Notamacropus eugenii: one gene and its partners. The protein of the gene in region 1 purifies or fractionates together with the protein of each later gene. This does not show direct contact. Links are inferred from orthologs where the notes say so. Each region holds a gene or a part of one and is shown on either strand. Other genes may lie near its edges. The genes, in order: CTNNB1, GSK3A, RELA and HDAC7.

What was found.
Region 2: the proteins of CTNNB1 (region 1) and GSK3A purify together in Homo sapiens (affinity purification with mass spectrometry; 3 studies listed by BioGRID and IntAct, with this or other methods). This does not show direct contact. The link is inferred for Notamacropus eugenii from reciprocal best matches to the Homo sapiens genes CTNNB1 and GSK3A.
Region 3: the proteins of CTNNB1 (region 1) and RELA purify together in Homo sapiens (co-immunoprecipitation; 3 studies listed by BioGRID and IntAct, with this or other methods). This does not show direct contact. The link is inferred for Notamacropus eugenii from reciprocal best matches to the Homo sapiens genes CTNNB1 and RELA.
Region 4: the proteins of CTNNB1 (region 1) and HDAC7 purify together in Homo sapiens (affinity purification with western blotting; 5 studies listed by BioGRID, with this or other methods). This does not show direct contact. The link is inferred for Notamacropus eugenii from reciprocal best matches to the Homo sapiens genes CTNNB1 and HDAC7.

What each region holds. Positions count from the first base shown.
Region 1 is NC_092874.1:44,339,047-44,346,003, forward strand, and holds the start of CTNNB1 (catenin beta-1), read left to right. Parts: upstream 1-3,943; 5' UTR 3,944-4,058; intron 4,059-5,708; exon of another isoform or gene 5,709-6,155; intron 6,156-6,957. UniProt on the Homo sapiens protein: Key downstream component of the canonical Wnt signaling pathway.
Region 2 is NC_092876.1:26,014,942-26,022,791, reverse strand, and holds the start of GSK3A (glycogen synthase kinase-3 alpha), read left to right. Parts: upstream 1-4,850; 5' UTR 4,851-4,975; coding exon 4,976-5,363; intron 5,364-5,633; coding exon 5,634-5,711; intron 5,712-5,916; coding exon 5,917-6,104; intron 6,105-7,560; coding exon 7,561-7,644; intron 7,645-7,747; coding exon 7,748-7,850. UniProt on the Homo sapiens protein: Constitutively active protein kinase that acts as a negative regulator in the hormonal control of glucose homeostasis, Wnt signaling and regulation of transcription factors and microtubules, by phosphorylating and inactivating glycogen synthase (GYS1 or GYS2), CTNNB1/beta-catenin, APC and AXIN1.
Region 3 is NC_092873.1:18,442,438-18,449,734, reverse strand, and holds the start of RELA (transcription factor p65), read left to right. Parts: upstream 1-4,292; 5' UTR 4,293-4,437; coding exon 4,438-4,444; intron 4,445-4,603; coding exon 4,604-4,630; intron 4,631-4,738; coding exon 4,739-4,890; intron 4,891-6,292; coding exon 6,293-6,441; intron 6,442-6,657; coding exon 6,658-6,749; intron 6,750-7,297. UniProt on the Homo sapiens protein: NF-kappa-B is a pleiotropic transcription factor present in almost all cell types and is the endpoint of a series of signal transduction events that are initiated by a vast array of stimuli related to many biological processes such as inflammation, immunity, differentiation, cell growth, tumorigenesis and apoptosis.
Region 4 is NC_092874.1:219,421,716-219,429,424, reverse strand, and holds the start of HDAC7 (histone deacetylase 7), read left to right. Parts: upstream 1-4,701; 5' UTR 4,702-4,900; coding exon 4,901-4,919; intron 4,920-7,709. UniProt on the Homo sapiens protein: Responsible for the deacetylation of lysine residues on the N-terminal part of the core histones (H2A, H2B, H3 and H4).

The DNA of each region.
Region 1 (6,957 bases):
GATGGGATGATATTTATCTGGCACTTTACAGATACTCAAAAATCCTCACCATTTTGTGTTTTATATATCTTAGGCGATGTATCCATTGCTCATCCTCTACTGTCAGTGGTGGTCATAAATATTTACTCGTTGGGTCTGACTAGGACTGTTGTTTCACTTTGCTGAAGAACTAGGGGCATGAAGCAATGAAATGTGCTGTGTTTTCTTTGTATGGTTATAGAACTGCCATTGCTGTTGCCGCCATTACTGCCATCCCAGTTACCATCACCACCACTAGGATTCTTTCTCCCTACGGTGAAGACCAAACACAAGTTTTCACTGTAACTCCTCATTGAATTTGTCCAGTGGATTCTTAGATTACTCCTGTGTATGAGTGTAGTCAACAGTCTAGTTTGATAAAGGGTATTTACAACTACTTAGTCTGCTCAGCTGGAAATAAATCAAAAGATTAAACTGAGCCCTGAGATGATGTATTGCAAATCAAAACTCATGATCCATACGTAGCCCAGTTGGTGATATGTTCAACGAAAAGCTTATCCTGATGGTTGCTTAATGTTTTCAGTTTTGCCATAAAGCAAGGACAAGGGCAGTTTCAACAAGGAAACTTGGCCTTCTATTCCATGCAGGCTCAAGTGTTTATTGGCAAAGCCAGGATATGGTCTTACTTTTGCATTGAATCTTAGTATTCTTAGCCTTCTTCATTTAGACATTAGGGTTGGAGTGCTGCCCATAGGTAAGGACCTGGGGAAGACAGGCGAGAAGGAGGTCACGCCTTGGTTGCTGGTGTTATTGATTTCTGACTTGATAATTCTTTCCTCTGTAAGTCTGACTAAATACTGGAAATATGCACTGACTTAAGGTATACAATGTAAAGAATTAGATGTCTTTTTAAAATATAGATAGATAGATAGATAGATAGATAGATAGATAGATAGATAGATAGGATGTTTATTTCTATGAGATTTAACTGTCCAGGCTCAAAACGGGTCTTTTGCTCATAATGTTGGCTGAATTAATGTTTATTTCTTTTATTTACAAAACATTCTGGTTATTCATTTGCCTACTGGTGATTAAAAGACACATGTTTTAGAAACAGAAAGCTTTACACTCATGTTCCACTATAACTACTGCTTGATAAGCCAATAATCAGATATTACGATGACTAATGCCTCCATGGTGAAATCAGCTGGAGACATTTTTGGTTTCTATAAACACACCCTGAAATTCAGAACTTAACGGCTGCTGAAGATTCACAAATTGAATTAATTTATGTCAAATACAAGGGACTGACTCTAGAACAGAAAAGTGAGTAAAAAATGAGAGTCATGTGTATTTCTGAAACAAATGTGCATAGTCAATAACAATAACATTTTAGTATCACTTATTTGACTGACTAATCTTATATTTTGATCCCTGATATTCTCCCTACCATGATAACAATATCTATCTTCATTCCACACGCTATTCATCTCATATTTTCAAGGAAATAATTGGAACTGCTACTGTCAAATTCAACTAACTTGTTTTACTGTGATCATGAACAATGGTTCTTTCATAATTGGAGTTTGATTGAGACAAATAATCACTTACTGTGTCACTGCAATGTTTCTGATTTATATTAAAAATCAGTGTTTATTTAGGCTCAAGAATTGAAAACCATATTTCTGCAGTTGGACTAAAATACTCAACTTGCAGAAGCAGACCATCCATTTGTGCACCTCTTTGGAGAACAAAGTGTAAGTGTGTGGGTTTTTTAGCTTTTAAATGGCAATAAAAGGAAAGAAAGCCATTTCTTTCAATGTAATAGCTTGCTGCATTTAAAAAATGATAAACATGTGAATGGCATCATTTCTTTTAAAAATCATTTGGTATTTATTCAGTAGTTTTAAAAAATTAAATCATAATTAAGCAAATTAATCATAATGTGTATATTTAGCCTGGGATTTAGGATCAAAGATTTGAGAACAGGATGTTTGATTTGTCTTAAATTGTCAGGAACTTTGCTACTTTAAAAAATTTTAAAGGAGTAGCTATATTTTATATTTTGCTCCACTGGAATTATGACCAATTAAGTTTACCTTAATCTATGATTTATGCTTATCTGTTCTTTAGCATCTGTGATATTATGAGAAGAATCTATAGAACTCCCTGCAAAGTCACACAGACAAACAGGGAGAATATTGTTCTAAGCAAGGGATTTAAGTCATTATCTGAATATCATCTTTGTAGTTAGGCTTTCTCCATTGCAGAAACATACATATATTTGTCTGAATGGTATTTGACATAAAAAAAAGAGAATGTGGCAAAATTGTCTTTAGTGCAGTCACAAAACAGATTTATTTAAAGAACAAATCAGCTCTGAAAGACTGTGAAACTACAAAAACTATACCATGAATTCATCCCGGGAAAGTGAATAACTAGATTTCCAGAGTAATACCTATACGCAAAGGCCCATTCTTTGTGAATGCATTAATTACAGCTATTCTATATAGCCACTAAGATAACCTTTGTTGCTTGTCTCTGTGTTAAATGAGGAAAAAAGCTCAAGACAAAAGAAAAGTCATTCTATCATATGATCAAGCTTTGACAAATACATTGTTAGATTACTAATGCATCTCCATTTTTTTTCCTTGAAAATGCCCCTAATTTCAGCCTGTCAGAACAAATTAGAGAAGATAGGTCTTTTGGAGGGTGTGTGTATGTGAGGGGATTAGTAGATTTTGTTTGAAAATAAGTAGAGATTGCATATTAGGCGGGGATATTTGTAAACTACATACTTGAACTTCTTAGACAAAAGGCACTACAAAAATTCACACACACACACACACATACACACCCCTAAACCCACAAATAAAGCCATAGACATGACAACACATTTCTCAGCACAGTTGAACTAAAGTAAAAAATGGAATTTTGTGAATGATTTTTAGGAAAGCAAATGTAATTCAAAGATTATTTTAAGTTAATCCATAATCCTAAATTATACTTCGATAGTTGCTATCAGTAAAGACATAGTGAACTAGGACTTCTTGATTATTTAAATAATAACTCATGTCTCTAAAGTAGGAATGGAAAATGGTTATTATTTTGAAGGTGTGCCTCACCAAATTATACATATCTGCAGAAAAAGAATACTTGTCTTATCCAATCTGTGTTCCAGAGGCTGAAAGATGAAGTACTTTTCCCTCATTCTTATAGATAACTGGTAGTCTGTGGGAACAGAATATTGTATTGTATTCTGTATTACAGGTCAGACATGATGCCCTATGGGTTTGTTGAACTTGGATTTGACTTAAAAGTTGTTTTTTTTCTTTTTGGTTAAAATGGAGGGTTCTTGGGGGGGTATTGGAAAAATAACAGTGGGATAGAAAATATCAATAAACCGTTACAAAAAGAACATCTTATAAAATCAGCTTCAGGATGAAGGGGCCTCCGCAGGATTTTCCCAAGATAGTCTTTTTTTTTTTGTCAGGGAACATTACATAGGCACAATTATATCATTTATATGTAATATATAATTATTACATGTGTGGATATTTTTACACATATATGTAATAATTAGATTAAATTGTGTTTGAGTAATCACTTGGTAAATTAGATCAGTATGGGCTTCTCAAGTGGCGCAATTTTTTTTTAAAGAAATTCTTTGGGAGTTATCTATCTTGGCAGTCTACACCGATACATTTCCCTAAAGGCGAAAGTTATCTTTTGCATTGTGCTGTGGAGAAACACCCTAAATCACACCTGAAGGACCCAAATCGAGAAACCAGTTGCCCTTGAACAAGTGTTAGCCAGACCTTGAGAGGCTGGTGCCCACCTGGCTCGGCCAAGCGGGGAGGGGGCGTGAGGCCCCAGCCCTTCTTTGTCCGGATATGCAGCTCTCGCCTTCCCAGTCCCACGGGAGGGAAGGAGGAACCCAACTTCCCTCCAAGCACCTTCCGCGTTCCAGCGCCTCCCAGGGCAGGTAGAAGCCGCCTTCCTCCCCTCTGCCTGGCCTGCTGCGGAGGCTGGCTGGGGTATGTGCGCACTGGTGGCAGAACGCCGGCTGAGGACGCAGGGTACGAATTCAGCCTAGACGCTCCTTTTGTCGGCCTCCTTGGAGTCCGGAGCGCTGCCCTCGGACGCTCCTTCCCCTCGTCCACCGAATTAGGATTCACTAGAAGGGGAAGCGGGGGGAGCAAAGCCTGCCCGGCGGCCGCGGAGCCTGCAAACCCCGGGAGAAGGCAAGAGGGGCGTCGGGGGTCGGGTTCTCCGTCTAACCTGGCTCCCTCGGCCCAAAGCGAGCAGAAGTAGCCGGGGGAGGGCATGGGGCATGTACCCCCACCCCGGCCAAGCCTGGCATCCTTGGCACAGCGAGAGCTGAAGCAGCAGGGCGCGGGCCGGAGCCTGGAGACAGCCCTCGCGCCCCGCAAGTCTCTCTGCTCACTCCCAGATACCCAAACATTTTTTCCATCAAGCAGTCTGGCGGGTGGGGCGGGGTGGTGGAAAGTGCACTTTGGGGAGGTCACATCTTGTTCGGCCAAGAAAAAGAGGGTCGCCTGTGGGACTCGCAAGAGAGATGGAGCAGGGGCGCAGGGAAAAGTGAAGGATGCTAAGCAGTTGTCTACGGAGAAATGTCTGATTGGATGAAAAGAAAGAAAGAGAGAAAGAAAGAAAGAGAGAGAGAAGAGAAAGAAGAGAGAAAGAGAAAGAAAAGACTTGAGAGACGGAGAAAGAAAAGAAAGCTTAAAAGGAGAGGAAGATAGGAAGGAAGTTGAAAAGGAAAGGAAGACTTAGGAAGAGAAAGAAAAAAGCTTTAAAAGAGAGGAAAAGGAATGAAGGAGGGTAGAAAGTTTAAAGGAAAGGGAGACTGGAATAAAGGACGAAAGGAAGGAAAAGCTTCAAAGGAGAGGATGAGAGGAATAAAGGGGGGAAGGCAGGAAAAGAAGAGGGTCGTGGCCCCCGAGGCATCCCCGAAAGCGCAGGAGGGCTGGAGGGGGTCGCTGGCACCCCCGCCTCCGGGCCTCCCCTGCGCTCCGGCGGCTCAACTTCCCAGAGCATCTGAGGGGGCCTGGCGCTAGCGGGGACCCCCATTAGCGCCCCCGTCCGTGGAGCCCTCCTCCTCCCGCTCCCCCGGCTTTCCCCCTCGCGCCCCCGGGCTCCTCGGGATGGGGCGCGGGGAGTGCAGCGCGCGCTAGGCTCCGGCGCCGGGCGCGCCCCTGGGCCCCGGGGTTAAAGTAGTATTTTCCCCACCCCAGAACCCCGGGGGCGCGGAGTGCCCCGCGGACCCCGCGCGGCCCGAGCCTCCCGCTCCCATTGGGTGGAAGGCCCGAGGATGGCGGGTGCGTTTATTTCTTCTTAAAGTTAGACCTTGCAGGGAAAAGGGGACGGGCCGGGGCCAGGAAGGCCCGACAGTGTGGAGGGGGGCAGCTGGGGAGGGATTGGGTTTCCATTGTGTGCCGGGGTCCGCGCGGGTTGGGGGGGTAGAGAAGGAGAAGGCGAGTGTGCATGGGAGGGGGGGCCGCAGTCACGCCACCGCTGCCCCTTTAAGGCCGCCCTCCCCCTGCTGCCCCTCCCCCTCCTCCCAAGAACTAGTCTCGGGCTCCCACCTCGGGAAGAGGAGGCTCCGGGCCTCATCACACCCCCGCCCCTTCCCCAGATCACTGCACCCCCACGCTGTGGCTACGCTTGGCGGGGCCGCGGCCTCCGCCCGCCCCTCCCGCCGCCGCTCGGGGCCCGGGGGTGTGGGCAGCGCCGAGGCGGCAGTCCCCGGCCCCCGCGGGCGTCCTCTCGGCCGCCTCCCGGCTGGCTCTGCCGCGGCAGGGCGTGGGGACTATTTTCCCCGTCTTCCATCCCGCCCCTCCCCCTCCTTCGCTCCCTCCCCCGCGCGGTGGAACGCTCCGCGCGGCGCCGGCGGCTGCTGCGGCCTCGGCGGCAGGATACACGGGGTCCTGCGCGCCGTATAAGAGCTCCGTGTGCGGCGCCATTTTAAGCCTCTCGGCCCGTGGCAGGAGGAGGATCCCGTGGAAGGGAGCCGGCGGAGGCGGAAGGCGGAGGGCGCTGGCGCTGAGGCGGCTCTGGGCGACGTCGAGCGAGCGGAGCGGAGCGCGGCGGGGCAGCAGCCGGAGTGCGGAGGCGAAGGGACCCCGGCGGCGGGCGGCGGCCGTTCCCCTGAGGTGCTTGTGCGCTCGCTCTCCGGGGCGAAACTTCCTCGGAGGCGCGAGCCCCGAGTGGGAGGGAGGGACGGGCGGCGGGGCGGGGTGGCGTGGCTGGCGGGCCCGGCCCGACCCGGCTCGGTTCGGCCCGGCCCGGCTCGGAAGGCTGCGGCGGGCCCGGCCCCGGCCCGGCGAGGGGCGCATGGATGGGGCTGCCCGCCTCCGGGAAGGGGGGTCGAGGGGCCGCGGCCCGCCGGGAGGGAGCCCCGGGGCCGGGTCGGGGGCGGGCAGCCTCCCCTCGGTGGTGGACCAGGCGCGCTACGGGGAGGGGGAGGGGGCAGGGACCTCTGGAAGAGAGGGAGGGGTATCCTGGGCGGCAGGGGCTTCTGGAGGAGATGGGGGGCGCGCTCTGCGGGGGGCAGAGTCCCGATGTTCCTGAGAAGTGGGAGCGTCGGGGATCGTGCGGGGGCTTTCTTACTTTGGGGTGGGGGTGCCGCCTCTGGATCCAGCCTCAGCTTTTGCAGAGCTCGGCGGGGAACGTGGAGGTTCCGCTCCCCCAGAAGGGTTCGTAGTTCTGAGAACCGTGGACTTTGCGGGCCAGTTTGAGGGGTTCCTATTTGCTAGCAATCCGTGGGGAAGGGGGAAAGTCTGGTCCTCTTGGTCAGGGCTGGGATGTGAGAAGTGATTTTTCGCTTCAGATCTGTGTTTTCTTTACGGAACCGAGAGAAAGGTTTCATATGTGTATATACATATACGTACATGTTTTTTATTTTAAAAAGAATAATATTGTGTTTGTGGCATTTCACTACTATGTGGATTTGAG
Region 2 (7,850 bases), on another chromosome or scaffold:
GGTCCCAAGTGTGATTCTGTGTGACCCTGGACCCGAAATGAGGGTAGTGATACTTGCATCATTGATTCAAAGAATAAAGCACTTTGTCTTTAAAAAAGTGTTAGGAAGGAGTTTGTTGGAAGGGACCAAGAGATCTGCTTGCTAGAGGAAAGTACTGGTGAGGAAACTACCCCTCGCTACACAAGTCAGCACAGGCTTTGTAATTTTTGAGCTCTGTGAATTGTCTGGGGCTGGCTTAAGGGACATGCCCAGAGTTACCCAGCCCACCTATGGAAGATCACATCTTTTATAACTGAATCTACTTTTACCACACTGCCAGGGACCTGGATTTGAGCTTGTTTCTATTAATTTCTTACCTCTGTACCTGTGGTCAAATCTCTCCCACTCTCTGGGCCTCAGTTTCCTCATCTGTAAATATGGGCATATTTGCATGATTGGGGCAGCTAGGTGGTGCAGTGGATAGAGCACCAGTGCAAGAGTCAGGAGGACCTGAGTTCAAATCTCACTTCAGACACTTGACACTCACTAGCTGTGTGATCTTGGGCAAGTCACAACCCCAATTGCCTCATCCTGGGTCATCTCCAGTCATCCTGATGAATATCTGGTCACTGGATTCAGATATCTGGAGGAGAAATGAAGCTGGTGACCTGCTCAGCCCTCCCTCACTCAAAACAAAGTGAAGTGCAAGTCAGGTCATCATTTTTCTGATGGCATGGTCTTCTTCGGCAACGAAGAACAAACACACATGTCATCTAAACCAGTGACGAGTCAAGAGAGTGGTTTGCAACTGGGGGGTACCCCCAATTTTCTAGCTGTGTATGCTGTGGTGAGTCATCTCTGCCTTCTCAACTGGCTTTTGACTTTTGAGACTTGGAGCAGCTCTTGGCACATAGTTGGTGCTTAAAAGAAACTTAATAAACTGGCAGCCCCCTTTTAACTACATTCTGTGACACACTTATTAGGTAGGAGAGGATGGGAAAAATAGGTACAAATGGGGAAATCGTGTCAGAGAAGGGAAGGATGGCTAACACCAAAGTAGGAAGAGCATGAGAGCTGGCTGATAAGGAAACTGAGGCATGAGAGGGCGGACTGGGCCACTGCAGTCTCCTGGGTGATGTAAGTCACTCCCTGGGGTGGGGGCCGCTGGGGGTGGAGGCGCCAGGCTATTTCAGGAAGTTGTCACCAGGCAACGCAGATGCTGCTGGGAGGGTGGTGGTAGTGGGGGGGGGGGGGGCCGGAGGAAAGGATGTCGTCACCTTCAGGAGGGGGCTGGGACCCTGCAGGGTGGAGACTTTGGTTTCCACAAATTCTCAGTCCCCACTGAAGAGTGGACTTGCTCATTGGTCCTGATCCCAGCCCCAAGGGATCCCCTCAGCCTGTCCCTGAGACGGTGGGAGATGGAGGGTGAGGTGGCCCCTTTACAATTTTAGCCTTCTCCTCTGACCCTAGAGAAACCGGCTCCCTTCATCCTTTCATTGAGTTCTCCACCCTCTTCAATGAGTACAATATCCTGGTAATTAAGCCTTTCCACCCTCTTCATTGGTCCCCAAGCCCATACTCATCCTGCCCCCAGCCCCCATCTCCTATCCATCTCCAAGGAACGGACCCTTCATCTTCCCTGGTCCCTATCTCCACTTAGCACTCCTCTCCTCACTGCCTGCACCTCCAGCCCTTATGGAACCTCTTCTGGCTTCCCCATCTCCTCTCCTAGAACCAAGTATCCTTTTGAACGGAGTCGCTCTTCCGAGCCCTTTAAATACACCTTTGTCCTGTCTCCCTTGTCCGAGCACCCCCTCCTCACTGAGCCCCTAACCCTGGTCCAAGCACCCCCTCCTCACTGAGCCCTTAACCCTGGTCCAAGCACCCCGTCCGCACTGCGCACCCCCTCCTCACTGAGCCCCTAACCCTGGTCCAAGCACCCCGTCCGCACTGAGCACCCCCTCCTCACTGAGCCCCTAACCCTGGTCCAAGCACCCCGTCCTCACTGAGCCCCTAACCCTGGTCCAAGCACCCCGTCCTCACTGAGCACCCCCTCCTCACTGAGCCCCTAACCCTGGTCCAAGCACCCCGTCCGCACTGAGCACCCCCTCCTCACTGAGCCCCTAACCCTGGTCCAAGCACCCCGTCCGCACTGAGCACCCCCTCCTCACTGAGCCCCTAACCCTGGTCCAAGCACCCCGTCCGCACTGAGCACCCCCTCCTCACTGAACCCCTAACCCTGGTCCAAGCACCCCCTCCTCACTGAGCACCCCCTCCTCACTGAGCCCCTAACCCTCGTCCAAGCACCCCGTCCGCACTGAGCACCCCCTCCTCACTGAGCCCCTAACCCTGGTCCAAGCACCCCGTCCGCACTGAGCACCCCCTCCTCACTGAGCCCCTAACCCTGGTCCAAGCACCCCGTCCGCACTGAGCACCCCCTCCTCACTGAACCCCTAACCCTGGTCCAAGCACCCCCTCCTCACTGAGCACCCCCTCCTCACTGAGCCCCTAACCCTCGTCCAAGCACCCCGTCCGCACTGAGCACCCCCTCCTCACTGAGCCCCTAACCCTGGTCCAAGCACCCCGTCCGCACTGAGCCCCTAACCCTGGTCCAAGCACCCCGTCCGCACTGAGCACCCCGTCCGCACTGAGCACCCCCTCCTCACTGAGCCCCTAACCCTGGTCCAAGCACCCCGTCCGCACTGAGCACCTCCTCCTCACTGAGCACCCCCTCCTCACTGAACCCCTAACCCTGGTCCAAGCACCCCCTCCTCACTGAGCACCCCCTCCTCACTGAGCCCCTAACCCTCGTCCAAGCACCCCGTCCGCACTGAGCACCCCCTCCTCACTGAGCCCCTAACCCTGGTCCAAGCACCCCGTCCGCACTGAGCCCCTAACCCTGGTCCAAGCACCCCGTCCGCACTGAGCCCCTAACCCTGGTCCAAGCACCCCGTCCGCACTGAGCCCCTAACCCTGGTCCAAGCACCCCGTCCTCACTGAGCACCCCCTCCTCACTGAGCCCCTAACCCTGGTCCAAGCACCCCGTCCGCACTGAGCACCCCGTCCGCACTGAGCACCCCCTCCTCACTGAGCCCCTAACCCTGGTCCAAGCACCCCGTCCGCACTGAGCACCCCCTCCTCACTGAACCCCTAACCCTGGTCCAAGCACCCCGTCCGCACTGAGCACCCTCTCCTCACTGAGCCCCTAACCCTGGTCCAAGCACCCCGTCCGCACTGAGCACCCCCTCCTCACTGAGCCCCTTTCCCCTTTAAAGGATCTGCCCCCGCCCCTGCCCTGCTAAGAACTGTAGCAGAATGCTCACGCAGCGGCCCCGCCCCCTCCCGGACAACCTTGGGTAACGGCAACTCACAGTGGGCCTCTCCCCGCTCCCGTCCCGCCCCTAGAGGGGCGGAGCCTTCAGAAGGAGCCGCGTGGCCCACTTCGGAACATGCGCATACTTTTTTCTGGTTGACGTCCGACAGGGGGCAGTGCAGCTTGCCCAGGCTGGGAACTACAACTCCCAGCAGCACAAATTTCAGCTTTGGACTTTGATTTTTTACGTCCGCTACCAACAGTCTCGCTGGAAAATTACAGATTTCTTCAATGCCCCTGCTATCCATTAGGAACGCCACCTCCATAAGCGTGGAGACCTACAAATCCCAGAACATCTGGCTCCGAACTGAGCTCTCTGGATGCTTACTCGACCCTAGCCTACTGTCCGCTCAGGGAGAACTACAAATACCAGAAACCTGTAGGACGAGGTGGGCGTCGGGTCAGGCTGGCACCCACGTGAGGACTCCAATAGCCAGAATTCACTGGGGTTAGGAAGTGCTGAAAGTTTCTAGCTTTTCCGGAGACTCAGGTAAAGGTATACTACAGAACTTCATTTCCTCTCAGCATCGAGAGTGAGTGTTGGTGTACGTGCATCCGTATGCATGAGAGGAAGAATGAGAAGAGTCAACTTCCCAGTATTCCATGGGTGCGCGGGGAGGAATGAAAACGAAGCACGGGGGAGGAAAACGGGGACTGCATTTCCCAGCATTCCTTAGGGGTGGGGGAGGAGCTGAAGACTAGAGCGTTCCTTTTCTCGGCGGTCGTTGCGCGAGGGCGTTGGTTCCCAGCTCTTATCGGTTAAAGGAAGACTCCACTTCCCAGAATGCTTTGTTATTCGCTGACCCCTCCCCCCTACGAGGGTGGGTCCATGACGTATACTCGAGCGCCTTCATCATACAACCTGCAATGACTCCACTGCTTCCCCTTTCTTTGCAACTAATTACCAAAGAAGAGAGGAGGCGGGGAGCGATGTAGATGTCCTTTCTCTTCGCGGCCGGCATCTCCTCACTTTTTTTCTCAGGGTCTTCTTTGGGCCCGTAATTTGACAGGAGGAGGGGGTGGAGGTGATCTCGAACTCCATCTCCCACGATCCTCTGTGGCTTTAGGTGCCTAAATGTTGCAATGAATTATATTTCCGCGACTTCGCCGTCGCGGTCCGTGACGTAAGACAAGACAGTTGGGAGTTTCTGGGAGGGGACTACTTGTCCCGGCATTCCTTGGGGCTCCCAAAGCTCTTCAGGGAGCCGAACTCTTTAGGCGTCTTCAGCGCCCTCGGCTCACCCAGCACATCGAGAGGGCGCATGTACGCTGTTTCCCAGGATTTCCTAGGCTTCTCTGTTGGGCCAGCTCCCCGAGAGCGCGTGGAGACTGCATCTCCCGACATCCTTCAGGGCCCGATCTTCGGAGCCCATGACGTTGCTTCTGTGGTGGAGCGAGGACTCCATTTCCCAGTGCGCTCCGCGGGGTCAGGCCGGCGGTGTGAGCGTGCGCGAACTGCATTTCCCGGCGAGCCCCGCGGCGCGGAGCCGGAGCCGGAGCCGCAGCCGCAGCCGGAGCCGGAGCCGGAGGCCGGAGCGGCCGCGGCCTGGAGCGGAGCCGGACCCCAGCCCAGCCCGGCCCGGCCGGGGCCCCGGGGAGCAGCGCGGCGGCGTCTGAGGCGCCATGAGCGGCGGAGCCCCGGGGGGCGGCGGCGGCGGCGGCAGTAGTGACAGCATCTCGGGCCGGGCCCGGACCAGCTCGTTCGGAGAGCCAGGGCCGGCGGGACCCGGGCCGGGGCCGGGCGGAAGCGGATCAGGCCCCGGACCCACCGTCGGACCCACCGTCTCCAAGGCCGGCGGTCCGGACCCGGGCCGGGGTCCGGCCCCGCCAGCCTCGGGTGCGGGCCCCGGCCCGGGTCCTGCCCCCGGCCCCATTCCTCCCGGTCCCGGCCCCGGCGGCTCGGGTACCGGCGGCGGTGCGGGGGCCGTGAACGTGGCCTTGCCTTCGGGCCCCGGAGGCGGCGGAGGCGGCGGAGGTTCGAGCTTCCCACCACCCGCCGTGAAGCTGGGCCGTGAGTAGGGGCGGGGGCTTCCCCTGCCCTCCTTCTTCCCCACAGCCCCCTCCCGCGCTCGGGGCCACCCCGTACTTGGCCCGGGGTCCCGGGGTCGCGACCCCCCGGCACACCCTGCCCCTCTGCAGGGCTTGGGGAGGGGCGGGCGGGCAGCCACCGGCCAAGGAACCCCAGCCCTGGGGAGGCACCGGGCCGGGGTGCCCCACTTTCCATAACGGAGAGTGGTCCTGGGGGTCACGGAGTCCTCTTCTTCCCCCTAATCCCCCGCAGGTACCACTAAGGGGGCTGAAGCTGTAGAGGTCAAAAGTCACCAGCCAGAAGTCTTGTCTCAGCCTTTCCCCCCCAACAGTAAGGTGGCCCTAGGGACTGGAGGTTAAAGGTCAGGGGCCCTTCCTCTTTCCCGGACTGAGGAGGGATGCTGAGATCAGCTCCTCATCTCCCCCTTACACAGACCCCAGGAAGGGCAGAGGGACTGGACCCAGAGGCTGAATGTGACCTCCCCTACCCCTTCTCCAGCCCCCCAGCAGGGAGTCCCCACATTTCTCTTCTCCAGGTGACACTGGGAAAGTGACCACGGTGATGGCGACCTTGGGGCAGGGGCCCGAGCGCTCCCAGGAAGTGGCCTACACGGACATCAAGGTGATCGGCAACGGCTCCTTCGGTGTCGTCTATCAGGCCCGCCTGGCCGAGACTGGGGAGCTGGTGGCCATCAAGAAGGTGCTGCAGGACAAGAGATTCAAGGTACTGAGTGCTGCAGTGCGCATGTCTGGACCCACACCCTAGAGATCAGGGAGGGCACCGGGCAGATCTGAGAGCCCCAACACAGTCAGGCCAAGGACTGGTGTGCTGTGGGCTTGGACTTAGTGACAACAAAGGGAGGTGGGCTAGGGCTAGGCTGGGATTCTCTTGGGCACCCCGCTCAAATCCTACTCCCCACTGAGAGAGACCAGAATGCAGAGGAAAGTGTTTGGAGGCTGGAGCCTGGTGAGGACAGGGGACTGTGTCTAGAGGAGCAGGAGATCCAGGCTCCAGGAGCACCCAGGCTGGGGGCGGGGCTCTGGGCTGCCAAGGGGTGGGGTTGGGAGGGCAGGACCTGCAGAGGTGGTGAACTGAAGGTCGAGGTCCTCCAAAGGAGGGCTGGCTTCTGCCTAACATGTTCTAGGGGATCCAAGAGGTCAGGCCTGAGGAGAAGGAGGGAAAGAGGGACAAGAGACAGGGGTGGGGGTTGGTGAGAGGAGACGAGGGCAGGATCAGGGTTCTAGAGCAGCTAGGGAGCCCAGGAAAGAGATGGAGAACTGGAGAGGAAGGCGGGACTCCTCTGACCCTTGACTGGTACAAGAGAGAGCTGAGACCTGGGAGGCGTTGAATCAGGGTTTGGAAAGGGGACCAGAAGAGAAGGGAGAGCAGGTTTTTGGATTGGCTCAGAGGGGCCGACCCCAGGGCAGCTCTGGTGTCAGGGGTCATGAGTGGCCAGATCCAAGCAGGGATGAGGCTGGGATCTGGGCCCCAGGGGGAGAGGCAGTCCAGAGGCAAGACTCAATTCTGGGGCCCAGGAAGGGCATGGTACCACCCCAGAAAGGAAAGGGAGAAGGGGTGGGGACGCGGTTGGCCTGAGCTCCCGTTGGGAGAACAAGGGCTTTGGTGCTTGAGAAGGAGGAGACTGGAAAGAGTGGGGAATTGGGAAGAGACAGTTTGACCTAGTGGAAAGAGAGGTGAATCTGACCTGAGAAGACCCAGATTCAAGTGCTGTTTGGGCCTCTGTGTGTGTGTGGCTTTGGATGAGTCACTTGTCTTTGGGCCTCAGGGAGGGAGCTGGGCTGGCTGCCTTTAGCTCTGGGTCACAGGCCTATAACCTCTAAGATTCTTTCCCTTGCTAAACCCTGTAATTTCTGGTATTTGGGGAGGGGGGAAGTGGGCATCAGAGGAGAGGCTTCATGGAATATGGGGGTCCTGTGGTGGGCCTGAGAGGGAAGGAGGGAGATGGGAGCTGAGCCAGGTATAAGTTGGGGCCCAGAAGGGAGCAGGAGCTCTGGTGTCTCAGGGACAGGGGAGGAAAGGTCTGAGGCAAGGTCCCAGGGAGGAAATGCAGGTTGGGCAAGAGTGGGCCAAGACCACAAAAGAAGACAAGTCTGGGAGGGGGAAGACAGGGGCTCCACTGCCCCCTGCCCCCAGGCTCAGCTCTGCCTTCTTTCCCCAGAATCGGGAGCTGCAGATCATGAGGAAGCTGGACCATTGCAACATTGTACGGCTTCGCTATTTCTTTTACTCCAGTGGAGAAAAGGTGAGTGAGGCCTAGAGGCCAAGCAGCTCCTCCCTTCTGGCACCTCTGGCTCTGGGGAGCGCCCGGGCCCCCTCCTCACCCTCTTTCTCTTTCCTCATGGCAGAAGGACGAGCTTTACCTGAATCTGGTGCTGGATTTTGTGCCTGAGACCGTTTACCGGGTGGCACGGCACTTCACCAAGGCCAAGCTGACCATCCCATCCATCT
Region 3 (7,297 bases), on another chromosome or scaffold:
GTCTGCTCTATGTCATGTCCTGGCAGAACCTAACCAATTCGCTAGCACATCTCAACGCGTGGCATAGTCTCTTAGGATTCTAAGTTGGAGTTTCTACTCCTAACGAACACAGAATTTTCCTGTCCTCAAGCTGGCCCAAACTAGTCAAGGATGTGAAGTCCTTAGAGAAGCATTTCTCATCCCTTCCCATGAAGAAGTCTGAGGTTATAAACGTTTTCTTATCAGGTTCTGAAGATGATCCTGGAGCTGGTCAAGGCTTTAGATGTGATGACATTGGCCTGGTCATCAAGTGATCTAAAGACATGGCCAAAGCAGTCCATGGTGCTATCAATCCTGGCCAAGCTGGCCTGGCCTCCTCAATCCTGCGAGTCACAGCTACTGGGAGAAAAAATTTGTAAACTTTATCTAGTGCCCTGCAAAGGCCTTGAGCATTGTGGGTCTGTCCTACTAATCTCTGCCCTCTGGTGTTGTGTCAGCTGCTATTTCTAACAAGCCTTAATCAGCCAGGACTGATGACTGATAAATTCTGCTAAGGGCTACAGTCACTCTGGACGTAGCTGCTGTCTCTAAAACCTACAATTACTTGACCCCTGAGACCTAAGAAAAGAAACTGTGTTCACTCTCCCCTATCAGGAATTCATCACCCTTGTAAAGACACTAGAATGTTTGTCTAGATAGCCTAGGCAGCTGCTATGGCATAGATGGCGTAGATGGCTACCACAAATGTTTTGATAGGACATCAGTAAGTAAATAAACATTTATGTGCCAGGCACTGATTGTGGCTAAGCACTGGGGATACAAAAAAGAGATGAAAGACAGTTCCTGATCTCAAGGAGCTCACAATTTAATATGGAAGATAACGTGCAAACACATACAAACAAGCTCTATACACAACTGCAGAAGGAAGGCACCAGAATTAAGGGGGGAGAAGGCTTCTGGTAAAAGGTGGGATTTTAGTTGGCACCTAAAAGAAGCCAGAAAACAGAGAGAGAGAACGTTCCAAGCATGGGAGGCAGCTAGAAGGAGTGACTGGATCCAAGAGATGGGGTACCGCTCTGGGAACCAATGTCACTGCAGAGAAGAGTACACATTGGGGAGTAAGGTGTAAGAAGGCTGGAAAGGGCTATGAAGGACTTTGAATACCAAATACAGCATTTTTGTTGGGGCAGCTAGGTGGTGCAGTGGATAGAACAGCAGTGCAGGAGTCAGGAGGACCTGAGTTCAAATCTCACCTCAGACACTTGACACTCACTAGCTGTGTGACCTTGGGCAAGTCCCTTAACCCCAATTGCCTCATCCTGGGTCATCTCCAATCATCCTGATGAATATCTGGTTATTGGATTCAGATGGCTCTGGAGGAAAAGTGAGGCTGGTGACCTGCACAGCCCTCCTTCATTCAAAACAAAGTCAAGTGCAAGTCATGTCATCATTTCTCTGATGGTATGGTCTTCTTTGGCAACGAAGGACCAACACACACACAGCATTTTGTATTTGATCCTCCTGGCAACAGAGAGCTACTGGAGTTTACTGAGTAGGGAGTGACATGGTGAGACTAGGTTTTAGGAAAATCCCTTTAGCAGTTGGAGTGGAGTGGAAAAAGATTAGAGGCAGGCAGACACCCTCTGCACCTCTCTGAGCAGCCATTGCAATAGTCCAGGTGTGAGGTGATGAGAGTCTGCCCCAGGAAGGTGGTGGCATCAGAGTGAAAAGGGTGTATTGGAGAGAGATTACAAAGGTAAAATTGGCATCATATTGGATATGGGTTGTGTGTGTGAAAAAGAATGAGGAATCCATGACTGGGGCTGGGAGCATGTTTTTGCCCTCTGCACTAACAAGGAAGGTGGTCACTGTGGTTGCTTGTCCTTCCCTCTCCAAGAGGACCATGGCATAGGGAAGGTGGGGTGGGGAGAGGAGGATGAGTTTAGTTTGGGCATATGTTGATTTAAAACCCTGTGGGATACCTAAGGTTGGAGCACGGGATATGGAGGAGGATCTCACAACAGAGACAGAGAACAAGTTGTCAAAGAAGTAGGAGGAGAAAGGGGTGGGGGTCCCAAGAACCTAGAGGTAAGAGAGGACCAAGGAGGAGAGAGTGATTATGGCTCCAGAGAGGTCAAGGAGAATGAGTGTGGAGCAGAGGCCACTGGATGTGGCCACTAAGGAGATAATTAGTAACTTAAGGGAGAAGTTTTTGTGGAATGATAAAGGCAAAAGCTGGATCGACTGTAAGGGGGTTGAGAGAGGAGGGAGGTAACTAGTGTAGATGGCCTTTCCCAGGAGAGTCAGTGGGGGCATCTGGTGTAGACAGGTTTTCCCAGGGGAGTCAGTGGAGGCGCCTAGTGTAGACAGCCTTTCCCAGGAGAGTCAGTGGGGGCATCTGGTGTAGACAGGTTTTCCCAGGGGAGTCAGTGGAGGTGCCTAGTGTAGACGGCCTTTCCCAGGGGAGACAGTGGAGGCGCCTGGTGTAGACGGCCTTTCCCAGGAGAGTCAGTGGGGGCATCTGGTGTAGACAGCCTTTCCCAGGGGAGTCAGTGGAGGCGCCTAGTGTAGACAGCCTTTCCCAGGGGAGTCAGTGGAGGCACCTAGTGTAGACGGCCTTTCCCAGGGGAGACAGTGGAGGCGCCTAGTGTAGACGGCCTTTCCCAGGAGAGTCAGTGGGGGCATCTAGTGTAGACAGCCTTTCCCAGGGGAGACAGTGGAGGCGCCTAGTGTAGACGGCCTTTCCCAGGAGAGTCAGTGGGAGCATCTAGTGTAGACAGCCTTTCCCAGGGGAGACAGTGGAGGCGCCTAGTGTAGACGGCCTTTCCCAGGAGAGTCAGTGGGGGCATCTGGTGTAGACAGCCTTTCCCAGGGGAGTCAGTGGAGGCGCCTAGTGTAGATGGCCTTTCCCAGGAGAGTCAGTGGGGGCATCTGGTGTAGACAGCCTGTCCCAGGGGAGTCAGTGGAGGCGCCTAGTGTAGATGGCCTTTCCCAGGAGAGTCAGTGGGGGCATCTAGTGTAGACAGCCTGTCCCAGGGGAGTCAGTGGAGGCGCCTAGTGTAGATGGCCTTTCCCAGGAGAGTCAGTGGGGGCATCTAGTGTAGACAGCCTGTCCCAGGGGAGTCAGTGGAGGCGCCTAGTGTAGACGGCCTTTCCCAGGAGAGTCAGTGGGGGCATCTAGTGTAGACAGGTTTTCCCAGGGGAGTCAGTGGAGGCGCCTAGTGTAGACGGCCTTTCCCAGGAGAGTCAGTGGGGGCATCTGGTGTAGACAGCCTTTCCCAGGGGAGACAGTGGAGGCGCCTAGTGTAGACGGCCTTTCCCAGGAGAGTCAGTGGTGGCATCTGGTGTAGACAGCCTTTCCCAGGGGAGACAGTGGAGGCGCCTAGTGTAGACGGCCTTTCCCAGGAGAGTCAGTGGTGGCATCTGGTGTAGACAGCCTTTCCCAGGGGAGTCAGTGGAGGCGCCTAGTGTAGACGGCCTTTCCCAGGAGAGTCAGTGGGGGCATCTGGTGTAGACAGGTTTTCCCAGGGGAGTCAGTGGAGGCGCCTAGTGTAGATGGCCTTTCCCAGGAGAGTCAGTGGGGGCATCTGGTGTAGACAGCCTTTCCCAGGGGAGACAGTGGAGGCGCCTAGTGTAGACGGCCTTTTCCAGGAGAGTCAGTGGTGGCATCTGGTGTAGACAGCCTTTCCCTGGGCTTTAGCCACAAAGGGCATTAGAGAAACAGGACAGTAGCTAGAAGCGAGCTGGCCAAGGTCTGATCGGAGAGGCGGGTGCCAGGCCTACACTGGCGGACGAGGGAGGGAGTTTCCTCATTGGCGCTCGGACATCGGACTCTCTCGCCGGCACTAGGGAGGGGCCTCGACCCTCTGCTCTGCTCGCGCCCCCCAAGGCGCCTCCCCCTCGTTCCACAGTACACAGTAGGTGCTTCATAAACTCGGGCTTCCCCTACACTCCGGCTCCGCCCACCCCTCCTCTCGCCCCTCCCGGAGCGTCCTGGGACCACGTGCTTCTGGAAGACGCGTGACGCAAGCACGCAGCGGCGTCTCACGCTCCGCCAATCAGGGCAGCTCCCTGTCCGCCCCGCCCACCCCGCCTTGGGTGGTGGCCAGGTCCTCGGCCGGAACGTTTGGGAAAGGCGATTTGGGGAGCTGAACGGAGACGCCAAACGGAGCGCGGAGGGGCCGGTCTGGGTCCGACGCCTCCCTGCCCTCGGGCCTAGCCCTGCTCGGCGGCCACCTCCCCGCACCTGCGCACTCGGGCCGCCCCGCCCCGCTAGCGGGAGCGCGCAGGGCGCGCGCGGCCCGGGAGGCCCTGGTGCGCAGGCGCGGCCCCGCATTCCGAGCAGTGACGCCGCGAGCGCGCGCGGCGCATTTCCGCCTCTGGCGAATGGCTCGGGCGTAGGGCGCGCGCCGCGGGGGCTCCAGCTGCGACCCCGGCCCCGCCCCCAGGACCCTGGCCATGGAGGGTGAGCCTGACCTCTGACCGGGGGAGGGGGAGGGCCGGGTGGGGCCCGGGCGGGCCGGCCGGAGGTCCGTGCGGCCGCCCCCCTGCCGGGGCGGGGCGTGGGGGGGAGGCGGAGGGCGGCGCCTGACTCGATTTCCCTCGCGCCCCCTCCCCTTTTCAGACCTGTTACCCATGATCTTCGCTTCCGGTAAGTGGGGGCGGGGCGGGGGGGGCCGGGAGGGGCGGGGGGAGGCCCGGGGTCCGGCGGCTGGGGGTCCTGAGCCCGCGGTGTGCGCGCCCCCCTCCGCCCCCCCAGATTCGCCCCCGGCCCGGGGCCCCTTCGTGGAGATCATCGAGCAGCCCAAGCAGCGGGGGATGCGCTTCCGCTACAAGTGCGAGGGCCGCTCGGCGGGCAGCATCCCCGGGGAGCGCAGCACGGACACCACCAAGACGCACCCCACCATCAAGGTGAGCCCCGGGGGCCGGGGGGCCGGGGGTGCTCAGAGCCCCCCACTGCAGGGGCTCGGGGCTCGGGGGCGTGCTCAGAGCCCCCCACTGCAGGGGGCTCGGGGCTCGGGGGTGTGCTCAGAGCCCCCCACTGCAGGGGGCTCGGGGCTCGGGGGTGTGCTCAGAGCCCCCCACTGCAGGGGCTCGGGGCTCGGGGGTGTGCTCAGAGCCCCCCACTGCAGGGGCTCGGGGCTCGGGGGTGTGCTCAGAGCCCCCCACTGCAGGGGCCGGGGGTGCTCAGAGCCCCCCACTGCAGGGGCTCGGGGCTCGGGGGTGTGCTCAGAGCCCCCCACTGCAGGGGGCTCGGGGCTCGGGGGCAGACCCCCCCCACTGCAGGGGGCTCGGGGCTCGGGGGTGTGCTCAGAGCCCCCCACTGCCAGGGGCTCGGGGGTGTGCTCAGAGCCCCCCACTGCAGGGGGCTCCAGGCTCGGGAGTGTGCTCAGAGCCCCCCACTGCAGGGGGCTCCAGGCTCGGGAGTGTGCTCAGAGCCCCCCACTGCAGGGGGCTCGGGGGTGTGCTCAGATCCCCCCACTGCAGGGGCTCGGGGCTCGGGGGGTGCTCAGAGCCCCCCACTGCAGGGGCTCGGGGCTCGGGGGGGTGCTCAGAGCCCCCCACTGCAGGGGGCTCCGGGCTCGGGGGTGTGCTCAGAACCCCCCACTGCAGGGGGCTCGGGGCTCAGGGGTGTGCTCAGAGCCCCCCACTGCAGGGGGCTCGGGGCTCGGGGGTGTGCTCAGAGCCCCCCACTGCAGGGGGCTCGGGGCTTGGGGGCAGACCCCCCCCACTGCAGGGGGCTCGGGGCTCGGGGGTGTGCTCAGATCCCCCCACTGCAGGGGGCTCCGGGCTCGGGGGGTGCTCAGAGCCCCCCACTGCAGGGGCTCGGGGCTGGGGGGGTGCTCAGAGCCCCCCACTGCAGGGGGCTCCGGGCTCGGGGGTGTGCTCAGAACCCCCCACTGCAGGGGGCTCGGGGCTCAGGGGTGTGCTCAGAGCCCCCCACTGCAGGGGGCTCGGGGCTCGGGGGCAGACCCCCCCCACTGCAGGGGGCTCGGGGCTCGGGGGTGTGCTCAGATCCCCCCACTGCAGGGGGCTCGGGGCTCGGGGGTGTGCTCAGAGCCCCCCACTGCAGGGGGCTCAGGGCTAGGGGATGTGCTCAGAGCCCCCCACTGCAGGGGGCTCGGGGCTCAGGGGTGTGCTCAGAACCCCCCACTGCAGGGGTGCCGGGACTGGGAGTGAGCACACCCTCCGCCTCCAGCAGAGGGCAGGAGGTGGCAGGCTCCCAGAGGGACAGAGGCCCTTTGATGGGTTTGGGACCCCTCACTGATCTTCTCCGAAGGTGGGAGTGGCTCAGCCTCCATTCCTTTCCCAGGTCATTGGCTACACAGGACCAGGAACTGTGCGAATCTCCCTGGTGACCAAGGAGCCCCCTCACCGACCTCACCCTCATGAGTTGGTGGGGAAGGATTGTCGAGATGGCTTCTATGAGGCTGAACTCTGCCCTGACCACTGCATCCATAGGTGAGGAGGCTCAGCAGGTGCGAGGGAGTCAGGGCAGGGCGAGGGCAGGGGTTCTCCTACGTGGGGAGGGGGAACCAGAAGGACCCCACAAGGTAGGGAGGACAGAGCAGTAGAAATGAGGCACCGAGCTTCGGGTGGGGCAGAGGATCAGAGAGGATGGCCAAGGGCTGGACTGGGCCTGGGGTGCCAGGCAGGCTGACAGGTGTGAGGTGTTAGCTTCCAGAACCTGGGGATTCAGTGTGTGAAGAAGCGAGATCTGGAGCAGGCCATTGCCCATCGAATGCAGACCAACAACAACCCCTTCAATGGTGAGAGGCTCCTAGGCCAGCATGACCAGGGCCCCCAGCAGCCCCACCCCACCCTGCCCATGCCTCCCTGCCTCACTCCCTGGCTTCTCCCTCTTGCTGGCCAGCTCTACACCAGTGCTTCAGGATCCTTTTCAAATGCTTTTTGTGCTGCTGCTTGTTTCGATGTCACTGTCATTTCCCTTTCTTCCTTCCTTTGTGTCCGCATCCCCCCACTCCTCTGTTGCTGGCCCCTCATTAGTTGCTCAGTTACTGTGGCCTTGGCTTGCTTCAGGCGATCTCTTGTTTTCTTGGCTTTGCTTGTTTCATTCTGCATCTGTTCACACAAATCTTCCCATTTTTCTCTGAATTTTTTTGTTTATTTCTTACTGTATAGTAATGTGTCATTTTTTTAACCCATATCTAATTGATGAGCCTCTACTCTGTGAAAGCTATAGAGCTGCTATGAATATTTTGGTTTTTGCACGACCTGTTGCCATTTCTATCTTTAGCTTTTTTGTGGAGTTTCAGTAATTAGATCATTGAGTCAAAGGCCACAGGCCATTAATCCC
Region 4 (7,709 bases), about 180 Mb from region 1:
CAGCATATGTGGCAAAGGAATAATATAGCCCCTTCCAGGTGTTTGAAAGTCCTTTTGTCCCCATTTTGGAATGTTCAAAAAGTTCCCCTTAGTCATGGTGTGGCTTCCTTGCTGGGCCCCTCGTAGAGCTATAAATCTGTGTCCAGTCTGTCTATTAACCTATCTAGGAAACAGACAGGAAGTCCCAAATCCTTCAGACTCTGAAGTTCACAAAGTCCTCCAGGGTCACACATCTAGCAAGTAAGTGTCTGAGGCAGGATATGAACTTAGTTTCCCTGACTCCAGGTCCTAAGCTCCATCCACTGTACCGCCTGATTGCCTCCCTTCCTGGATATGAGGTCCCCTACATGCTGTGTTTCCCCACATTGCACTCTTTTTCCAAATGCATTGACCAGTTTGGGGTAGCAGAGGAAGAGGTGGTTGAATGTGTACGTGGTGTGGGGGGGGGGAGGTGTGAGGGGCCACAGAGCTACTGGCCACCCCTCTCCTGACCCCAGGGAATGGGGAATTCCCAAACCTCTTCTAAACTCAAACCTCCCGAAGCACTCCCTCCTCCCAACCTCTCGGCTGAGGATCTTACCTCATACTCATCCAGTTAAAACAGTCATTCACCATCAGCATCCTTTTCTCTTCTACTTACATTACAATCCCTTATCCTAATACCCAACTGGCTCTCCTTTTACTTGATTGCTTCCCACGATCACCCCCACCCTCTCACTAATCTTTTTTGTTGTTCAGTTTCTTCAGTTGTGTCTGACTCTTTGTGACCCCCATTTAGGGTTTTCTTGGCAAAGTTACTGGAATGGTTTGCCATTTCCTTCTCTAGCTGATTTTACAGAGGAACTGAGGCAAACAAGGTTTAAGTGACTTACCCAGGGTCAAACAATTAGTGAATGTCAGAAGTGGGATTTGAATTCAAGTCTTCCTGTCTCCAGGCCCAGCACTCTATGTACTTCATCATTTACCTCCCGAAGTCCCATATACATCTCCAAATCAACGTCCAAAATGGAACTCATTATTTTTCTCCACCAACCCATTCATATTCTGAACTCTCAAATTACCATTAAGTGAAGCACTATCCTTCCAGTAACCCAGGTACAAATCCTAAGTGTCACCTTTAACTCTTTACTCTCACTTACTTGACATATCCAATCTCTTGACAAATTTCCCAAATATGCCCCCTTTAATCACTAGCTACCACCTTATTTCAGGTTTTCATCACCTCTTCACTTTTAATTGTCCTCCCTGACTCAAGCCTTTACATAATCAACTAAAGTGATTTTCCTAAAATTTAGATCTGATCTTGCCATCACCATATTTAATAAACCCCAGAGGTTCCTTATTACTTCTAGGATCAAATATCAACTGCTCTGTGTGATTTTCAAAGCTCTTTACAATCTAGTTGCATCTTCCTTTTGCAGCATTCTTAAACATTACTTCTCTGGAGACACTCTTTAGTCTGGCCATACCAGCTTATTTGCCATTCCTCACACACAACACTCCATCCCTCTCTCACACTTACCTGGAATGCACTTATTCTTGTTTCTTTCAGGTCTCAGCTCAAGCGCCTTCTATATAAGACCTTCCCAACTCGCCCCAGCTGCTAGGAGCTAGGCAAGCTGCCTTCCCTTCCAAAGTTACTTTGTATCTGATATGCTTTGTATGTGCTTGGCATATACCCATGTGTGTTTTGCAGATGGTGATATGAGTATATGTTGTTTCCCCTGTTAAGCTGTAAACTCCTTTGAGGCATTTTACTTTTTGTCTTTGTATCTCCAGCGTCTTTAGCATATTAGACCCTCGATAAACATTTACGAGATTGACTGATCCTCCAACCAATAACTTAAAGTTCCTTCAACACTCTGGTCACCCTTCTTTAGAGATGATCCAGTTTTGTCTGGCTCATTGTAGGAGCTTAATAAATGCTTGTTGAACCGTCTTGATGCAGACCTAGATTTGTCTATAGTATCCCAGAAATAGTCTAAGCAGGATAATGATAACAATTCACATACCCTTCTCCAAACAGCCAGTACATCTTATTATTATTCATCTAAGTTCTTACAGCTGGGCCTAGGGGGCTAGGCTACTGTATCCATTCCCTTCACCACTAAGGGGCATTTCTCAGGTTTGTGTCTATGCATACTCTTGGCACAGTCCTAGCAAAGCCTGGGCTCCAATGAGAGAAATTAGCCTTTTTTTCTCACTATTTGGCTCATTATACCTTACACACATGTGCATGTGCGCACACACACACACACAAAACTTTGAACCCTGAAATGGATTTGCTTAAAGCTTAGGTTTTGGCTCATGTCTAGCTATGGTGTCCTCAAAGGAGGGAGAGTAGAAATATACTCAATGTGTAATATGAATTAGAGGTACATGGAATCATCCAATCCCAGACATATCCATCTCAAGATCAACATTCAGAAAGGAAACACTAAGTGCAAAGAGCATCCAAGAGCCCTGAGTCAAGCTTGTCTCATTTAGACCCCCTTTTCTAGCTGATATATAGAAGCAGTCATCGTGAGGCTAGGGTAGGGGAAGAGCTCCAGCCCCTCCCCCATCCTGCTAGCAAGAGGTTCCTCATATGCTCATCAGGAGGAAGGGAAGTGAGGCCAAGAGCAGAGTCATTCCCTTTTCAAAGGTCTTCTGAATCATTGGTTCTTCCTACTTAGTGGCCAGTGAAGGGATTGCTTCTTTCTCTCAAAGTGGGAACCCTTCTGCACTGAGTCCTACATAGTAGGAAGCAGCCTTTGTCATTCCCGAAGCACCCAAGTGCTGAACTAGCATTCGTGATCAGTCAGCGTAAGGAAGGGCAGTTTTGTCTATACCATGTTCAGCCCTATCTAACATTCCCATTTGTCAGGTGAGGAAACTGGGGTTGTGATTTGCTTATAGTCACAGAGCTAATAATATCTAGTGGGATTTGAATCTGGGTCTCCTGACAGCAAGTCCATAGGTCTTTCCACTATATCACACAGCTCCATTTGGGCACTTTTCATGTAGTCTTAAATATGAATTAGTTGTTTTGGCCACCTCACCACACTGCTGACTCACTGTGCATACAGTCCACTAAAACCCCCAGGTCCTAGGCAGGCTAAGAGGGAGGATTCTGTTGCAGTCATCCAATGTGCAAAGTGATGAGGCCTTGGCCCTAGGCTATGGCTATGGCAACAAGAGGAAGAATTGTGTGTGGGGGAGGAGGGTACCCTCTCTGCAGTGAAGAGGTTCCCAGTATTACGATCCTATGCTAAACTCAAACTTGTCTCTCTTAGGACTAGTCAGGTTTCTGCCTATAATGTGGGCATCCCAAAGAACTATGGCCATAGCACAGACCTTTCTTTTGGGCCTCAGTTTCCCTTTCAGTTGTGCAGACTCATGAGGATGGTGTAGCTTCCTAATCCTGATAAGAGTTTCAGGGACACTCCCTGCTTTCAAGTTTAAGGCCCCGAACACACAGGAGAGGCCAAAATTGCTTCAGAGAGTGGCTGACACACCCTATCCCAGAAGTGGCTGTATTTCTAGCTAAACTGGGGACCCAGCCAATGGCCAACAGAGAATAGCAGGGAGGTCCTTAGCTCCTGATCCCTGACCCCTGACTCTGACCTCCACTTCCAGTTTGGAGAGGGGGTTAGGAGTTTCTGTGAACAGGCTATCCCTGCCCTAGATTTATTAGGGGAGGGAGGACTAGAGGCAGCTGCATTCCGACTCACAGATGGGAACATTTCTGCAATCCGCTGTAATGCACTGGGAGACACTGGGCACATTGCTGAAGTTTGACTCATAGGGACAGGGAGGGTGGAGGGGGGAACTGGAATTGGAGGGGGAGGAATGAGAAGAGAGGGAAGAGAAAGAGGGAAGGAAATCCCTTGGGAAATTCCTTTTTAAAAAAAAAAAAACAACCCAAAACTTTCAAAATAAACATTGTTGTGACCCCCTTTTCTTTTCTAGGATCAGGCAATTCCCTTCTGTTCTCTTTACAGGAAGATCGGAAGGCGGTGGGGGTGAGTTCGTTAGGCAGTGATTCAAATCAGATCTTGAAACTTTTCTCCTGCAAAGTTCTGTTTGTAGCTGGAATTCCAAGCGTGGGACTCTGCTTGTAAATTACCGTGTGTCTGTGTTCGGGTGTGTATGTCTGAATGTATCTATATGTATCTTTTTCTTCCTTTCTCTGCAGGTGTCTATCTATTTCTGCGTATTGCAGTATGGGTGTGTGTGTTATGTATGTGAACAGGAGTCTGGGCGTTTCTGGACGCATCTGAGTGCCTCTTTTCAGGGGCTGCTTTCTTTTTGTGCGTGTCACTGTGTTCCTGTGTGCATCCGTGCGGGTCTGGGCCTCCGAATTTTGTGCCTTCTTCTCGGTCAGCTGTCTCCGGGTGTCATGCCTTCTCCGCTGTGTAAGGATCGTCAGTTTCTGCGAGTCTCTGTGCTGTGTATGTCTGTTTCGTGCCTCGGTGTGGCGCCTGTGTCTGGGCTGTGTGTGGACCCGCGCAGCTCTGGGCTGTGTGGTGCTGGGCTGCGCTGGGCTGGGCTGCGCCGGGCTGGGCTGGGCTGCGCTGGGCTTCTCGGGGCTGGGCTGGCTGTGTGCACCCTCCCCTCTCCTCCCCTCGCCTCTCCTCCCTTCTCTTCTCTTCTCCTCCCCTCCCCTCCCCTCCCTCCCCTCCCCTCCCCCTTGGCCCGCTCTCAGACTCAGATAAAGCATTTCCTTCCATTGTCATCCTACCCGGACGGCCCCGCTGCCAGGGCCCTCCCCCTCCCGGCCCCCTCCCTTCCTCTCCCGGTCTCGCCGACTCTCTGCAGCCTCTGGTGCCTCGGGGGATGTAAGGCCGGCGCCCCCGACCCCCCGCGCCCGCCCTGATTCCCACCATGAGCCCCCCGCTCTGAGGGCCCCAGCCCCTGGATGCACAGACCCGGTGCTGGTGAGTACATCGCCCGCCCCGGCCCCGGCCCCAGGTCTCCGCCTCCTCCTCCCTGCCCTGCGTTGGCACGGTCCCGGCCCCCCACCGCACCCCGAGCCCGTGGGCCCCCCAGTGCAGCTGGGCGCAAAGCTGGCGCTGCGCTTTCGTCCCTCTCCTCCACGGTTGGGGCCCTTGGATCGTCTGGGCCCCACGGGGAGGGGGGGGGAGTAGCTCCAGGTCGTGGCCGGTTCCAGGGCCGTGGGGCTCCCGCATTGGCCCGCCCTGGGGGTAGCGGCGGATCAGAGGAAGGAGGCCCGCGGGCTGCTTTCCCTGCGCCCTGCTGCCCCGACTCCCATATCCCCCACTCCTGAGCCTGGAGAAGGAGTGCCAGGCCCGTCCAGGGAGCTGTGTAGGGGGCCGGGCGATGCACCCGTGCTGGCCATTTGTCTTGTGCTGCCTTCCTGAGTCAGATATCGCCTCCCCCCAGGCCATTGGCCCTGGGACCGGGGCACACACCCCCTGCAGTGTGGGGTACAGCCGCAGACTTTTAGAGGGACCTTTAAGAGCATCTAGTTGAACCCTCCTCCTTTTACAGAGGAGGAAGCTGAAAGCCGGAGGAATTAGGGCATGAGAGAGCTTTCTTGAAGACCCTTCCTCTTCCCTAAGCCCTCCCCCCTCCCATCTTACTCAGTAGTGTTTAGAGACCTGTGTTTGAAAGTGCGAAGTGAAGGCACCCCCTGATAGGTTCTGGGGCAAAGCAGGTGGAGAATAACAAATTGTATTTGGGGGATGGGGGAGTGGGGGGGGCGCGACTACTCTCTGGTGCTGGAGCGGTACACAGACAGCTGCATTTCCTTCCAGAACACAGTGTTTTCAGACCGGGAAGCCTTCTGCAAAGGGAAAGGGAGAGTTTCCTCGGGCCTAACTCAGCTGAGCTGCTCATATTTTTTTTTCCTCGAGTCCCATTTATCATATGATCCCCTGCACAACCAAAATTCATGTCGTCTGCCCTTCTCTGTTGTCCATCCTTCTTGTCTCTCCTTTTCCCCTCTCCATTAAGAAACTCCCCATCCTAGTCCTCCATTCTATGTCTGCCTGAGACTTTTTGATGCTGTGGCTTTTCTTTTAATTTATATGACAGGAGAGAGGTGTTCTGGGAATTCAGCTTCCTTAGGGAGTCATCTTTAAGCCCTAAATCTGCCCCTAGTATAAACCTAGGAGCCTTCTTAGGTTTTTCCCAAGTTGGGGAGCCAGAGATCACAAGGCCTCTCTTCTTGTAATCTTCCCTCAGGGCTCCCAATAGCCTGAGCTCCTTTATCATCCAGGATTCTCTTGAGGGACTCTCATTCCTGACCACTTAGTACCTTCTCTGCTCAGCCCTGAAGCTGTAATCTTCTTGGCCCTGTCTTGGAATTCTGGTCCCCATGCTCTTCACCTTGTCCCTTGTCTTGTCTGCCATTCTGTTATGTAAAACAATTTGCCACCACCCCCTTCAAAGCCTCTCCGGTGACTAGAGCCCTGGGACATCATCTCCTTCTGACCAAGGAAGGCACAGAACAAAACTGAACTCATGGGACGTCATCCAGTGAGGCCACAGTAGGAATTCAGGGATTTTGAGCTAACAGGGATTCTCTCACTGCCCTTTAGCCCCAGATAGAAGCTCTGTCACCATCAGAGTTGTCCCACAGTATCATTCCCAGGACCAGCCTCCTCAGTATGGTATTTTACTGACTAGATGTCAAAGATTATCTATGAATGTGAACGAACCCATCATTGGTTTGTGTGCTCGTATCTTCAGGGTTGAACCTGTATCATATTTTTGTCAGTTAAGCACCTACTATGTGTCAGACATTGTATTAAGTCTAAGGATACAAAGAGCTTACTGTGTGTGTGTGTGTGTGTGTGTGTGTGTAGGTGGGGAGGGTCAGGTAGGGGAAATGGCACCATGTCTTGTACACAGTAGGCACACAAAATTTTGTTGTTTACAGCAACCAAGCCTTGAAGGGGGATGCCCAGGATGGTGAGGAAGACTTTTTTCCAATTCTGCCATCTTAGTTCTCCTAAGCAACTATCCCTTAACATCAAGGCTTAATTTTCTCATCAATGAAACAGGGAGAAAAATTGGGCTTATTGTTTGCTGCAGATGAGGCTAGAATTAGCCATGCTAATCTCACCTCCAGTGTCTAGTTTGGTGCCATTATGGGCATTCTGTAACTGTATTTTGTTCTTGACTTGGACCTTAGGGAAGCCAGGTCTGGGGAATCTTACTTGCCAACCCAGGAAGTGGGAAGCTCATGCTAGGAGAGCAGGAGTTGGGAGAAGTAAGGATCTTCTTGGTGCAGCCACAGTGAAGGCCCAGGAGCATTCCTAGAGACATTCCTGGGAAGAGGCACATGCAGCTCTAATCTAGAAGAATGGAAGTGAAGCTAGCCCAGGGTTAACTCACCCCACAATAACAGAATCATGGAATTTTTGAGCTAGAAAAAAGCACCTTAGCAATCATCTAGTAGTTAACCTCCTCACTTGACAGATGAGGAAATTGAGACTCAAGGAAATGAAGTGACTTGCTTAGCCTTATACCATTAGCAGAGCTAGAGCTAAAACTTCCTGACTCCCGTGCCAGGGACCCATCTCTTATACCACACTGCTTAGGGCCTTCTCATCCCTAACCTAGTCCTTCTGTGTCCATATTCCCTTCTCTTCCCTGGCTTCCCCAAGGCTCAGAACCTTATCAGCCTGTTCTGTACCCTTTCTGCTTACCCTCTCCACAACCTCAGCTTGGCCTCAGTCGTATTCTAGACTGGAGGTTGG